Danio rerio: one gene and its partners. The main gene of each other region encodes a partner of the protein of the gene in region 3 in a complex. Links are inferred from orthologs where the notes say so. Each region holds a gene or a part of one and is shown on either strand. Other genes may lie near its edges.

Region 1 (4,865 bases), on a different chromosome or scaffold from region 3:
TATATATATATATAGGGCTTAGTCCCTTTATTAATCCGGGGTCGCCACAGAAGAATGAACCACCAACTTATCCAGCATGTTTTTATGAAGCGGATGCCCTTCCAGCCGCAACCCATCTCTGGGAAACATATGTATATATATGACTATTTTTCAGCGTGAGTTTTAGTTTTGTTTTATTTCAAAAAACATTTAATGTTAGAACAATAACCCTGATATAAGGCATATATTACTACACAGGCGTCAACAATAAAATAATATTTCTCTTCTTTTATTTTGGTCATGGTATTACTATTAAATTATATTGAAATACTTTGGGATACCATGCTGTAATCAGTTACCACAGAACTACATATTTTTGTAAGGATGCATATGCAAAATCTTTTAAAGGATATTATAAATTAGCTGAAACAAATCAAGGAAATGGACATTTCTTGTGCCAGTATAACCACTGGCAATTTACTCCTTGTTTGTATTCCAGTGAAGACGCAGAGTCTCCAGGGATTGGAATGACAAGCATTTTCCTAAACGACTTCTTAAGCAGTTGTGGCTTTCAGGGCAGGAATTCCAGATTTCCCCTGTTTGCTCTACAGATATAGACCTGTCAGTCACATACAGGGAACTTCCTATTGGTAGGTGGTGGAATGGAGGGCGGAGCTGAGCTCTTAGACTGGTTCCACTGTGAAATTCCGCCTGCAAACATTTTCAGCAGAAACAAGCAAGAGCTCAAAGCAAGCCTGTGGAAAGCTCACCTCCAGTTCTGTCTCCCATTGGTTGATGTTATCCGTGGACTGGTTCAGTTTCTCCAGCTCTCCCTGTGCAGAGATAAAGCAGTGGAGATTGCAGTTAGATGTCAGTGGAACAACATCTGGAAAGTGTTATTGATGTAACCCAATGCTAAAGTGAAGCTGAAATGCGCGCTGATGTTAGCTTCACGCTGATGACACACAGATGTTGTTTTCATTTGCAGATCATGCGTTTGTTTTCCTACATGGGTGGAGGATGAAAAACCAGTTCAACTAGCACAGTCTTCAGCACAAGGCTCTTTGCAGTGCTCTCGTATCAAGAGAAATGCCTTCTTTTATTGTAAAGGACGTTCTTCACGTGCACTTTTAAAGCAAAAGATGTTACAAAAAGATCTTTTGAATGATAAAACAAGCACTCAAGAAGAAGAAGATAAAGTATCAGGACAGACTTTAAGCTCTTAATTCTATATGAGAACTAAAAGAGTTTTCACAGTGATGCCATACAGTAGAACCATTATCATTCATTCATTTTCCTTCGGCTTAGTCCCTTTAGTCATCAGGGGTCGCCACAGCGGAATGAACCGCCAACTATTCCAGCATATGCTTTAAACAGCGAATGCCCTTCCAGCCGCAACCCAGTACTGGGAAATATCCATACACACTCATACACTACGGCCAGTTTACTTCATTCAATTCCCCTAAAGCGCATGTGTTTGGACTGTGGGGGAAACCGGAGCACCAACATGGGGAGAACATGCAAACTCCACACAGAAATGGCAGCGGTCCCAGCCGAGGTTCGAACCAGCGACCTTCTTGCTGTGAGGCGGCAGCACTACCTACTGTGCCACCGCATCGCCTATTATGTTTTATTTTTTTTATTATTCAAATGGACAAATTGTGACTGAGGAAAGTTGAATGTGCTGGCCAGTTTGTTATTCATCTTATAAATGACACAATAAGCTACAGTTTTCAATTTAAAACTTTTTTGTAAAGATATATGATTAATATTTGTCATTTTTTTTTTATTCTAATGATATAAGAAATATGTTTGATACAGCAAAAAGTGTAGTTATGACCCTAACCCTAACCTGACAAGCTAATTCAGCTAAAATGTGTGCTTAATGTCACCTAAATGCAGTATTTAAACCTCATGATTAAATAGAAAATGAGGTGAATAACTGCAAAAAGGTCCACTTATTGAGAAAAAAAACACCATTTTCACCAGGCTAGCTACGGCCCTGTGTAGTTTATTTTGAATAATCAGTTTGAAATGGCATTATGATCCGACAGATCGCACTATTATGTTTTTCGTTTTCTTTTTCATTCTTTTATAACCTATTTTAACTCATTTTAATTTGTTTTTATATGTTTTTAATAATTTTTATTGTCTGCATTTTATGTTCCTAAACTTGTCTTTTTTATTCCTGTTTATGTAAAGCACTTTGAATTGCCACTGTGTATGAAATGTGCTATATAAATAAACTTGCCTTGCCTTGCCTATTATGACTTTAAGACAACATTACTATTTTATTAACTGATTAGTCCTAAACTGCTAACATGATTTCTCTATATAGAATTCGTAAATAATACTTTTATGAAATGATTTTAAGAAGTAAAAGTCTGAATGTGCGAGTATAAGACCAACTTGCCCTTCAGAAACGACACTGAATCCTGCATGCAGTGCACGTGAGATCAATTGTTTCTTTACCAGAGGAAACTGAGTTCTAAATATGACGTCAAAGTAAACATGTATCAGATTGTCAATGCAACAATGAAACAATGTAACATAAAATAAGAGATGATGTAACGATTTGGGGTTCCCCTCATCAAATCAAACACCAGCTGGTTTTTATGACAATCTGAACAAGCATAGGGCTGGAATCGTATATTACACGACAAAATATGCTCGAGTTTTGCAGCTATACGTTTAAAAGCCCGTGCAATTTAACTTCAGTTCAGGTTTTGTCAAGGTTAAATAAGAATAAGTTAGACAATTCCACATATTTACTATGATAGAGCCTGTAGGAATCCCCTCAGCTTTCGTTTTAATCCGCTTTAAGCCTTTTTGTCGTTGTGAATTCTCGCATTGATTTCCATCTCATACCTGAATCCTCGGGTCGACCTCTTCTTCCTCCAGAGACTCCGAGTCTTCATCAGATTTGTTCTCTTTCTCCGGCTCGTTCATTTTGCTTGTAGACGTGATTGTTTTTCTTTACCGGCTGAACAAAGCGTGTCTCTGTCCGGGATAACGGGTTCCAGATCCGCGCATCTGCGGTCACTCCATTAGACAGCCAGAAAACGCGATTAAAAGAGACTAAATCGATCCCTCACATTAGATATGAAAGATATCGTGCTTATACCAACACACACACACCCGTAGAAAACACCGGCAGAAGGAGAATGAGATCTGCCGAGATCCTGCCCGCCTCCTCCGGCACAAACACCCGCTGCTGTGCTCAAGAGGAGGGTCACTACAGTTCACACACACACACACACGCACACAGAGAGAGAGAAACACGGGAAATAACTGCTTTATCTGCGTTTTTTAGTTAGTATTAGTGTAAAAATGTAACAAAAAATATTGCAATACATACTTGAATGATGCTTTAATTTATTTTAATAGGCTAATCAAGTTTCAACTATTTTACTCAAAGTTTAACTTATTATTTGTTGTCAGTTGGTGTAAGTTGAGATGACTAGAAAAGTTAATTTGCCCGCACACTCAATTTTTTTATTTGTATTTTTTATTTTTGCATGTTCAGACTTCATATTTAAAACAAGCTAAACGCAATTTTGGCGATTTTTGCGAGAAACTTAATTTTTTTTTAAAGTTTAGTCCACTTTTGTAACAATAACTTAACTGATTTATGTTGAGACAGCATGAATAGCCGTAACAAAAATCGGATTATCCATATTTCAACCTTATGTTGGTTAAAACAATTTAGAATTACTTAGAGTTTAAGCAAAATGTAAATTCCCGAATGTTCTAATAAACGTCTGTAAAAGTGTTTCCACTGCTTTGAGAAACATTGGGAAATGGCGCTCTCTGGTGGAGAACATTCGACATCATGCATGTGCAGCTCCTTGTAGACGAATAATCCCATCAACAACAAAAATCAACCTGCGATATTTGAATAATTTCATGATTATGTTTTGAGGTCAGTAATGTAATTAGACTGAATTCATAAATTATTGATTGTATATATTATAATTAAAATGGTTTAACATATATTTTTAGATATTATCTGTTAACTGTTTTACATATATACACTAAAAAACAATGAGTTATTTATTTTACCCAATGGTTGGGTTAAATATTTGGTGCTTTGTTGGGTTATTTTTAACCTTTATTAGTTTATATATTAATTACTCAACCAGTTGGGTTAAATATTTGGTGCTTTGTTGGGTTATTTTTAACCTTTATTTGGTTATTTATTTAATAACTCAACCAGTTGGGTTAAATATTTGAGTTTCAACAGTGAACCGATGTAACTGACACAAAACAGCTGTATTAATATGTGTGCGTAATGTTGTTTTTTCTTTATAAAGTTCATTTAAGCTGTAACTCAATAATGTTTTTTTTTTAATCAAATTACCTCTTCGTGTCGTGTTTTTTTTTTTTATCCGTTTCACCAAGACCATCTTTTATAAGTGTTTGTTTGTGGTTAAAATGTATTGTACATTGTGGACACTGAGTAAAGCCTGCTGCAGCTGCTGGACAGCCTCTACAGCACACAGAGCTCCATATTCTGCTCCATCAACACAGGATTTTCTGCCTGCACAGTTTATATCTGTCTTCTTTGTTCTGTTTCTTCATTGTTTGTGATTCCTAATTATTTTAACAAAAGTTTCTGGAACTAAAAGTAAATAAAGCGTTTTCAAATTTTTTTTAAAAGTATGTTATTTATTTACACAGCCATAATTATTAAACTAATAGTAGTACTAACAACAGTAATACCAGAATGGAAAACAATAACATTTAATCAAAATAACCCATTGCATTGAATTAAATTATGCAACCCAATGCACTGGGTTAAAATAACCCATAATTGGTAAGGTGCTATAATAACCTATGGATTATATGGTATTTTGACCCAACTATTTTAACACAGTATATATATA
Region 2 (4,709 bases), on a different chromosome or scaffold from region 3:
TAAGAATGAATACTTTGAAAATTTCCTTGCTCTGTTAAACATTTGGAAAATATTTAAAAAAGAAAATAAATTCAAAGGAGGCAAATAATTCTGACTTCTACTGTATATATATTCAATTAAGCTAAACTACCTAGCTATCTTAGCATAAACGTAATTATGCTAATTAATGCATAAAAAGGTTGTGATATCATAAACATCTGATATCTTTTTTTAGAGGATAACATACATTAAAAACAGTCAGATGTGACTAGATTTGACAGAACATTTACGTATAAGCTAATAATGCCAAATTTTTGCGTAAATGTTGATGATAATAATGTTAATCACTGCATGAAAAGATTGTGAATTACTTATATAAAGTATTTATGTTTCAGTGGCTGAAATACACGATAAACAGTTAGATGTGAATGGTTTTGATTGAGAGAATTTATATTCAATTAAGCTAAACTATCTTAGCATAAACGTAATTATGCTAATTATTGCATAAATAGTTGTGAAAACATACATATTTTACTCATTTTTTTAAGATGATGCCTTCTAAAAATAGTCAGATGTTACTGGCTTTTTATGCTTAATTATGTTAAATCATAGCACAAACGTTATAATGATAATTGCTTCATAAAAAAGGAAGCGCAGCCATAAATAATGGCTTTTTCTTTCAGTTTAATTGGTTAGACAATGACATACATGAGAAACAGTCAGATGTGGCCAGCCTTGACATCCCCCTCAGTGTTGTTAACGCCTCATGCTAATTGACTGCTATGCTAATTGACACTGAACACGGAAAGCCTCCGGTGACCTCATGCTCATTCAAATTCATACAAATTCGGAAATAATCTCTACACATATTCAGACCGCAGTACATGGAAGCTAATGATGTGTCTTTGACCTAGAAATCTATTTTTGCTGTGGGGTAAACAGCTAGCTTCATTCAGTCCGAGAGCGTATGACTCTGCCTCATGGAAAGATAAGTGACTGTGTTGGTTTTTGGGTGGAGAGATGTAAACCACACATACACAATTTACTACTGATGTACTGCTGTTTCTGAATTAAGATAACTGTGATCAATGTAGTCTAACCATACGCATGTTGTTTACTGATATCCCTTTGTGTTTTAATAACGTTTAATTCACGGGGAACGATAGAAATGTCATAAAAGGGATTTCATTGCTAAAGTGACTTAGTTACTGACTCATCGTCATGTCGTTTTAAACTTGGATGACTTTGTTTTTGATATAACACAAAAGAAGATATTTTGCAGAATGTTCAAGCTGTTCTTTTATGTAACTTAAAAGCTATTGCAAAATTGACATTTTGATAACCAAATAAATCAAATAACAAATTCATTTACATTCTATATTAAAATTATTATGGACTATGTTAGGGCTGCACAATATATAGTTTCAGCATCGATATCGCAATGTGCGAATACACAATAATAATAACTATAATAATAATTCCTTACATTTACAGTATATAGCGCTTTACACAAAATTACTTTTTATAAATGTAATGCATCCCTGCCGAATAAAATAAATTTTAATCAAAATTTTTTTTTTTTTTCAAAATCCTGACCCAGAAATGACCTTGAATGCTACTGAAGTATAACTTATTTAAAATGTACAGATAAAGTCAGAATTATTAGCCCTCCTGAATTTTTAGCCCCCTTGTTTTTTTTTTCTCTGATTCCCGAGATTTTTTCAGCACATTTCTAAACATAATAGTTTTAATAACTCATTTCTAATAAATAACTGATTTATTTTACTTCTATACAGCTCAAAGTGACATTTAAAAGCTTAACTAGGTTAATAAGGTTAGCTAGGCAGATTAGGGTATTTAGGCAAGTTATTGTATAACGATTGTTTGTTCTGTAGATTATCGAAAAATAAAGCTTAAAGAGGCTAATAATTTTGACCCTTAAATGGTTTTAAATTTTTTTGAAATTTTCTAGCCAAAATAAAACAAATAAGACTTTCTCCAGAAGAAAAATATTATCAGACATACTGTGAAAAATTCCTTGCTCTGTTAAACATCATTTGGAAAATATATAAAAAAAATAAATAAAAAAATTCAAAGGGGGCTAAAAATTCTGACTTCAACTGTTAGAGTATGAATCAAAAGTAGCAATAAATCTAAATAGGTTCTGACTCCTGAAGCGCTCGGTCAGATAATGCAGTGAGCCATGAGTTCATCAGCCTATTGGAGATAAGCTACAGGACCAGAGCAGATGTTGATTAACTCTTATAGGCTTGTACAGGTGGTACTTTGGCACACTTCCCGAAATCATGGTAAGCCTGACACTACAAACCAGACTAAAGACCAAAACACTGAATCAGAATGGGAATAATTATGTTGGCTTGATATGACATCTCAACATGTGAAATACATTAAAACCTGCTAAAGCAAAACATGCTAAATACATGTTGGCTAATACTATGTAATAAGTAGTTGAAATAAGCATAAATGTCAGGGAAAAACATCTAAGAGGCCATTTTAAAACACATTTTAAAAGATGTTAAGATGTTAATAAAATATTATTGGTAACATTGTGCTAAATGAAGTATCAACATGTTAACGTAATATAAAACATTCTGTCGTAACATGCTTACAATTGTTATGTTAAAAAGTTAATATTATCAACAATATTTTATGTTAGCACAGTTTTGAAGTTATAACATGCTAGTTAACACAATGATAGCAATTCAAGCTAGCAAAATGTTAAAAATGTCTGCATGTTTGAAAGGTGTTGAAACACTGTACAAAACCGCATACTTTCACATTAAAACATACTAGCAACGTTTAATCATGCTGCTAATGTGCTAACACTACTGAATACCTTGGTATCACGTAAAACATGTCAAAAAACATGTCAAAACATTTTAACGTGAATTCATGTTAGCAAAAGGCTAAACATGTTAACTACCTTTAACGCTACAAAACATGTCAGCAACTTAATCAATTGGCCTACGATAGCCATGTGCTAACTAGAGAATTCTAAAAAGATAAAACTTTAATGTACTGACCTTATTTCATTAAAACTTTTCAAAGTTAGCCTATTAAACTCAGAGCAAGTTTTGTCAGGTCAATATTGACATATTTGTCATTAAACATAACTTATCTAATTTGTAATAATACTAACGTTACCTACTACAATAGCCGTTACTACAGCAACTGAAAACTCCAGGATAAAGAAAAAGTAATTAACAGATAGCAGAAAAAAAAGATATAATGTTAGGCTATAAATATATTTAATTAAATTTACTCAACACAAAAAGGCAAACATATTGCATAAGTATCCAAATAAAACCTTAATTAAATAATACATAAATATTAGGCCTATCGTTTTGTTGTATAAAGTTTACCTCACTGTCTTTATATAACAGATTCGTCATTTTTTGTATTTGACTTACTTGAGTGTCGAGGTCGAGATGGCCGAGTGTAATTCCGTTTTCATCCGTGATTTCAGTCACTTCAGACAGATCATCATCCTCATATTCATCCAGACTGATATCATGAGTCAACCTGAAGAGCGCCAACACACACTACGTCACGGTCATACTTCCACGAGACTATCACTAGACAATCACACACAATTGACTAATTATAACTTTAGGACCACTGTGCAAACACAAAACCCTCCTTTTCCCTAAATGCTTGAGTAAAACGCATTTTTTAGCCTGTAAATGACTAACGTCACTTTTTTCAAGCGGTCATTTAGAGCCGGTTTTTAGTCGTATGTATAACATAACAATAACACGATAATGAATAAAAACTTAAAAATAATTGTATGAATGCATATTTATAGACTTAATCCAAGAGGGAAATCATATTGGTCAGCATTATTATAAGATATTGCTTGGAAAGGAACATGGCTTCCCCGATATAAATATGTAATCCCAAACAAAGCAAAGGAAATCCATTTTAAAATTCTACACAAAACATACCAGGTCAATGCATTTATCTCAAAATTTACTGACATTGCAATTACTTGTTCTTTCTGTCAGGAAAATTAGCAAACTTTGACTCGCATGTTTTTTATTTGTAAAATCTCACAAAAGTTTTGGTCAGATCTATATTTGAATAAATCACAATCAACAAAACAAACCTTTAAATTGAAACCTATTATTTGTAGTCACAAGAAGAAAAAATAATGAATTTATATATATATATATATATATATATATATATATATATATATATATATATATATATATATATATATATATATATATATATATATAATCCTCTCCCTCATTTGCCCAATTTTTAATTGAAATTCATTCCTTGATTAAAGCTACGTTTATCTAACAACAAAAAATTATATATATATATATATATATATATATATATATATATATATATATATATATATATATATATATATATATATATATATATATATATATAATTATATATATATATATATATAATTATATATATATATGTGTGTGTGTGTGTGTGTGTGTGTGTGTGTGTGTGTGTGTGTGTGTGTGTGTAAATACATACACACAACAATATAATATATTCTTATTGAAATAGTTTATAAACACACAAGAACTATATGATAACACACAAAGAATACATATGAAAAATGAACATAGAATTCTGCTGCAAGAAAGCAGGACCAAAAACAAAAGTATTCTTTTAAAAACACTGCTTTGACTTGCTTAAGCACAATGACATTTTACCTAGCATTTATTGAAAAACTG
Region 3 (4,652 bases):
AGAGCAACGTATTTTACATTTTGCGAAAATGTTTCCCAACCATGTTCCTGGAGACCTGGATTTCCGGTTTCAGAGTCTCTTTTAATGTTCTGGTGAGTTGATTTGGGTGTGCTTGATTAGGAAGAGGTTGAAAATGTTTAATGCTGGTGTGCCTTCAGGAACAGGGTTGGGAAACACTGGCCTAAGACACATATTTTAAATGGGGCTGGGCAAATAGAGAGAAGGATACTGATCCAATATGAATAACTTACTAAGCAAACAAGCCAGCTAATAAATATAGATAACAGTAATGTAGTGGACTACATTGGTCAAGATACTATTCATTACAATAAACTATTGAGGTAAAAGAGTCAAGTCCTTGAAAAAACATTGACAGAGAAGAATTGTTTGCTGAACCGTTCAAGCCACATGGAGACAAAATACCGGCTTCTCAAGGCTTTGTCCTTCAGCAGTTCCCTCACAAAATCACTCTCTTAATCCTAATCAAAATGTCAGCGTACCTGGAGAATACGAGAGTTCAGATGATCGCCGCAACCTCTGACACTGAAGCGTGAGGCGAATATAACCAGGGTACCCAGTGTTGTGGGATTTAACAATATACAGACACAATGGAACAGCCTAATTAGCCATATGGGGTTGTTTTTTGGGGGGGCTACGGATGATTAGTCCATGGCCGTCCCTTAGAATATGCATAGCGCTTTGCCAAAGCCTGCAGTAATTGGCTCATTTTAACAGAGGATACCACAATGTGCCATTGCATTAAAACAAAAGCACAGATTATTAAAGCACCAAGAAATATTTCAGCATATGTCAAATTTCCAGCTTTAAAAAATAGGCAAGGAAAGCCTGAGTGGCTTTTTTTATAGATCTGACATGAATCTTTGATAATGGAACTCTTTGTGTATTCCTTTTGCTTTAATTAGTTTACTGTTCTCACAAATGCAATCGGTTTTGCAACAAACTGCACAAATGTTTTATGCTTCTTTTTTAAACTTATTAAACAGTACATTGCTCCAAATCATTTTGCTTTTGTCATTTAATCAGTAAATTAATGCATAGCCACTTTTACTCTGTACCAAATATATAAAAATATATATATAATATATATTTGGCACAGAGTAAAAAAGTAAAAATACATGTACAGTACATGCACTTTTGAATTATTCCACATAGTTTAATAAAAAGCATAACATATAACGCATAAAGTGGAAACCGAAATAGTCCAAAATACCAAATGGAAAGATTGTTCCATAGTGTGAAGCACTCAGTTGATAAAATGAAGAGTTTAGTAGCAAAAACCTCTAAATGCCGTCTGAAATTTTCCTCTAAAATGATTTTTATCAGGCTCCTGTGTGTATGTTTAGTAGTATCACTTTTATGGCAAAGAATAATTCTCTTTTATGGTCTTTGAAGAGAACTAACTCAACATTAACAAAGGAAGCTGAGAAAAATGTTTATTTTCAATGGAAATTTCAGACGGCACTTAGAGGTTTTTGCATCTAAACTCTTCATATGTAAAATGTTTACTGCTTTATGACACTTTAATAGATTTACACCTCTATGGTAGCCTTCCTAAAAATATAAAATAAGATAAAATAAATATTCAACATCTTAGACCCCAGCATGAACTCAAATATGCATCAATTGCAGCATAAAGCATCAAATGCTAGAACTATTGATTGAAAATAAATATGATTATTAATATCCTATTAATTCCAATATTGCTTCATTGAGAATAAAATGTCATATTGTATCTTACGAAATTTTCAAAAAGGCAAATGTATTTTATTTCAGCTCACAATACATAATATAAATAACTTCAAGTCAATATATTAATGTAATGTAATGTATAAACAAACATAGCCACTTCTGCATCAAAACATTTATATAAATGCCCTTTTGGAATTTTAATAAATTTTGAAGTTATTATTCCATGCAGTCTTATGAAACATTATGCACTAGAGTGCATAAAAATCATTACATCCTGTGATGTTCACTCAATATTTCTTGATATCTCAAAATGGAAACCAAAAATATTTATTATAAAAAATGCTCCATCATGCATCACACATCTAAAAACATCTAAACATGTTTTAATGTTTCATTTCATGCATTTAATATTTAATTGTTGTTCCTAAATAGTGGTTATCCAACCATAATTGGGAATAAACTTCAAATTTGATCAAACTGTGTCAAAATGAGGTGTGTTTTAACCCTGCTTCCTGTTATTCAGGCTTCCAACGTGAACTAAATAAATAAATAAACAAATTACCATATGGCCCATCTCAGACTCCAGCACCTATACACTTCAGTCATCTTAAAAACATCAAATGCGAGACATATTGTGAAAATATACCATATAAAGTATTTTACTAGCAATTCTGCATTTTTTGAAATGCAACATGATATAATATTGGAATCAAACATCCGAAACGCATGTAAATGAATCGACTTTTGCGTAATCACGTCATTGTTGTGACTCCAGATTCCATCAATCCATATTCTAACAAAGGCCTGCGGTCCCTGAAAACAGGACATATGATGATGCAGGACCGCGAGTGATGCAGGAAAAACACGGATGGACGTGCGCTCGCACTCGCTCAGATCTGGTAAACACCGGAGAAATCCTGCCATTTCGGACATCGTTCGACCTTCGTGACGGATCATTTATTTGGCTAAGCCGCGAAAGCATCGACTTCATTAACCTTCATTTCGATCAATATTCATCACCCCACCCTTCAGGTTCCCGCATCAACATCTCCCCACCGACCGACCGACCTACCATTCCGTGCCAGCTGCCCGTCCGATGATCCCGGTCCGGTGACAGTCCAGTCCTGTTCAAAACATCCCGGCAGGCGAATCTTTTAAAAACCACTGTATCAAACAGATGAAAAGAAAGTCTAACGCTGGATTAAAGCCTGAGTTTGCGATGCTGAATCACTGCGCGCTCACCATTGTGCTGCAGGATGATGCCTGTACCATTATGGATCCTACCAGCGTAGTGATGGCAAAACGGGAGGAGGAGGAGGAGAGAGTGGGGGGTGCGGGAGACGGGTTGCCTGGCAACGGGAGGGAGCACACGATGACGTCAAAGACGAGAGCGGTCTCATAGGAGTGAGGAGGAGATGGAAAGGAGCGGCGCTCTGATCGCGCATCTGGAGATTGGCGGATCTTTGCGCACATGACCGCCGACTGCGTGTTTGGAGGCGGGCAGAGAGACAGAGCGAGGCGATTCTTTTGAAGCGATCGGTTCGTTCGAAGAATCAGTTAGAATGAATCGCCTCACAGGAGACTTAGGGGGCGGCTATTAAAAAGTATAACTAAAATCGAATCTAGCGTGTTGTTATCTGGATATGCTTAAAATTGTGAAAATTGTAAAAGCAAGATCAGAACGAGTGAATTAAACAGTATGATATTCTCAAACGATTAATTTTGGTCAAATTTTAGTTTTTTTTGCTCTGGCACACATTGCACTTTTAAATAAATGAACAAACAGAGAAACACACGAAAAAAAGACAAAAATTAGAGTTCAATTGTATGCAGCAGTTATAAATCAATGGAAAGTAGGCTAACATACTCATATGTTATGGTTATTATACTGTAAATATAACCATTTAATCCAAACTATTTTCGAGCATGCTCGAATTAGAAAAACTGACAACGTCCATACAGCAGTACCTTGGACTTTGCCAAAGCCTGCAGTAATTGGCTCATTTTAACAGAGATGTGTTTTAGAGTCACAATGTGCCATTGCATTAAACTAAATGCACAGATTATTAAAGCAACAAAGAAACATATGTCAGATTTCCACCTTCAAAAAAATAACTAAATGAATGAATGAATGAATGAATGAATGAATGAATAAATAAATAAATAAATAAATAAATAAATAAATAAATAAATAAATAAATAAATAAAAATAGGCAAGGAAAGCCTGAGGGGCTTTTTAAATTTCTTATTTGACATTATTTGTCTTTGATATAGGAACTCTTTGTCCAGTTCAGTCAATTTTATTTTGCTTTAATTGGTTTACTCTTTTCTTCAGTGCAGTCCATTTTGCAACAAACTGCACAAATGTTTTATGCTTCGATTTTGAGCTTCTAAAACATTACATTACTCCAAATCATTTAACATTTGTCATTTAAATAGTAAATGAATGCATATGCGATTCTTTTAATCTTTGCTGAAATATATGCATACTTGTGTGCATTATTACAGATGGTTATTAAACTGGAAATATTAATCATTAAATCCAAATTATTTTCAAGCATGCTCGAATTAGAGATGACAAAAACGTCCATAATGTTGTACCTTTATTACTTTTAATTCATTCCTACCTTAAAGTTCTTTCCTGTATAATCTTCCTTTAAATTAAAAGAATCGGTTCAAATGAACGATTCAGTCGCGATTCACTCGCGAATTGAGTACTGCCTTGTAAGTGACACAAAACACTGCACCCATAGTTTGCATGTATGTTTATCCTGGATATCAATGTTTTTTTCTATATAGAATAGCTATTGTTAATATAAAAAAATAAGCTTATACATTTAGAAGATATTAATTGGATAGTCCACCCAAAATGAAAATTACTTTTCACCAAAACATGATCTTCTATTAAACACAAACAAAGATTTATTTTAAAGAAAGCTGAT

Evidence for each region. The genes of interacting proteins can lie anywhere in the genome.
Region 1: the proteins of mapk10 (region 3) and sh3bp5a are in contact, whole or in part, in a crystal structure (PDB 4H3B), measured with the Homo sapiens proteins. The link is inferred for Danio rerio from reciprocal best matches to the Homo sapiens genes MAPK10 and SH3BP5. Residues at the interface, in NP_620448.1 of Homo sapiens: Lys121, Asp150, Ala151, Gln155, Val156, Met159, Leu161, Glu164, Arg165, Tyr168, Tyr171, Val197, Lys198, Ser199, Asp200, Cys201, Trp362, Asp364, Glu367; in NP_004835.2 of Homo sapiens: Val341, Val342, Arg343, Pro344, Gly345, Ser346, Leu347, Asp348, Leu349, Pro350.
Region 2: the proteins of mapk10 (region 3) and mapk8ip1a are in contact, whole or in part, in a crystal structure (PDB 3PTG), measured with the Homo sapiens proteins. The link is inferred for Danio rerio from reciprocal best matches to the Homo sapiens genes MAPK10 and MAPK8IP1. Residues at the interface, in NP_620448.1 of Homo sapiens: Asp150, Ala151, Gln155, Val156, Met159, Leu161, Glu164, Arg165, Tyr168, Leu169, Tyr171, Val197, Lys198, Ser199, Asp200, Cys201, Trp362, Asp364, Glu367; in NP_005447.1 of Homo sapiens: Pro158, Lys159, Arg160, Pro161, Thr162, Thr163, Leu164, Asn165, Leu166.

The regions. Positions count from the first base shown.
Region 1 is NC_133194.1:2,323,516-2,328,380, reverse strand, and holds the start of sh3bp5a (SH3 domain-binding protein 5), read right to left. Parts: upstream 3,219-4,865; 5' UTR 2,929-3,218; coding exon 2,848-2,928; exon of another isoform or gene 813-2,847; coding exon 750-812; exon of another isoform or gene 479-749; intron 1-478. UniProt on the Homo sapiens protein: Functions as a guanine nucleotide exchange factor (GEF) with specificity for RAB11A and RAB25. Inhibits the auto- and transphosphorylation activity of BTK. Plays a negative regulatory role in BTK-related cytoplasmic signaling in B-cells.
Region 2 is NC_133200.1:14,770,283-14,774,991, forward strand, and holds the start of mapk8ip1a (C-Jun-amino-terminal kinase-interacting protein 1a), read right to left. Parts: upstream 3,219-4,709; 5' UTR 3,024-3,218; intron 1-3,023. UniProt on the Homo sapiens protein: The JNK-interacting protein (JIP) group of scaffold proteins selectively mediates JNK signaling by aggregating specific components of the MAPK cascade to form a functional JNK signaling module. Required for JNK activation in response to excitotoxic stress.
Region 3 is NC_133196.1:10,935,517-10,940,168, reverse strand, and holds the start of mapk10 (mitogen-activated protein kinase 10), read right to left. Parts: upstream 2,996-4,652; 5' UTR 2,786-2,995; coding exon of another isoform or gene 2,783-2,785; intron 1-2,782. UniProt on the Homo sapiens protein: Serine/threonine-protein kinase involved in various processes such as neuronal proliferation, differentiation, migration and programmed cell death.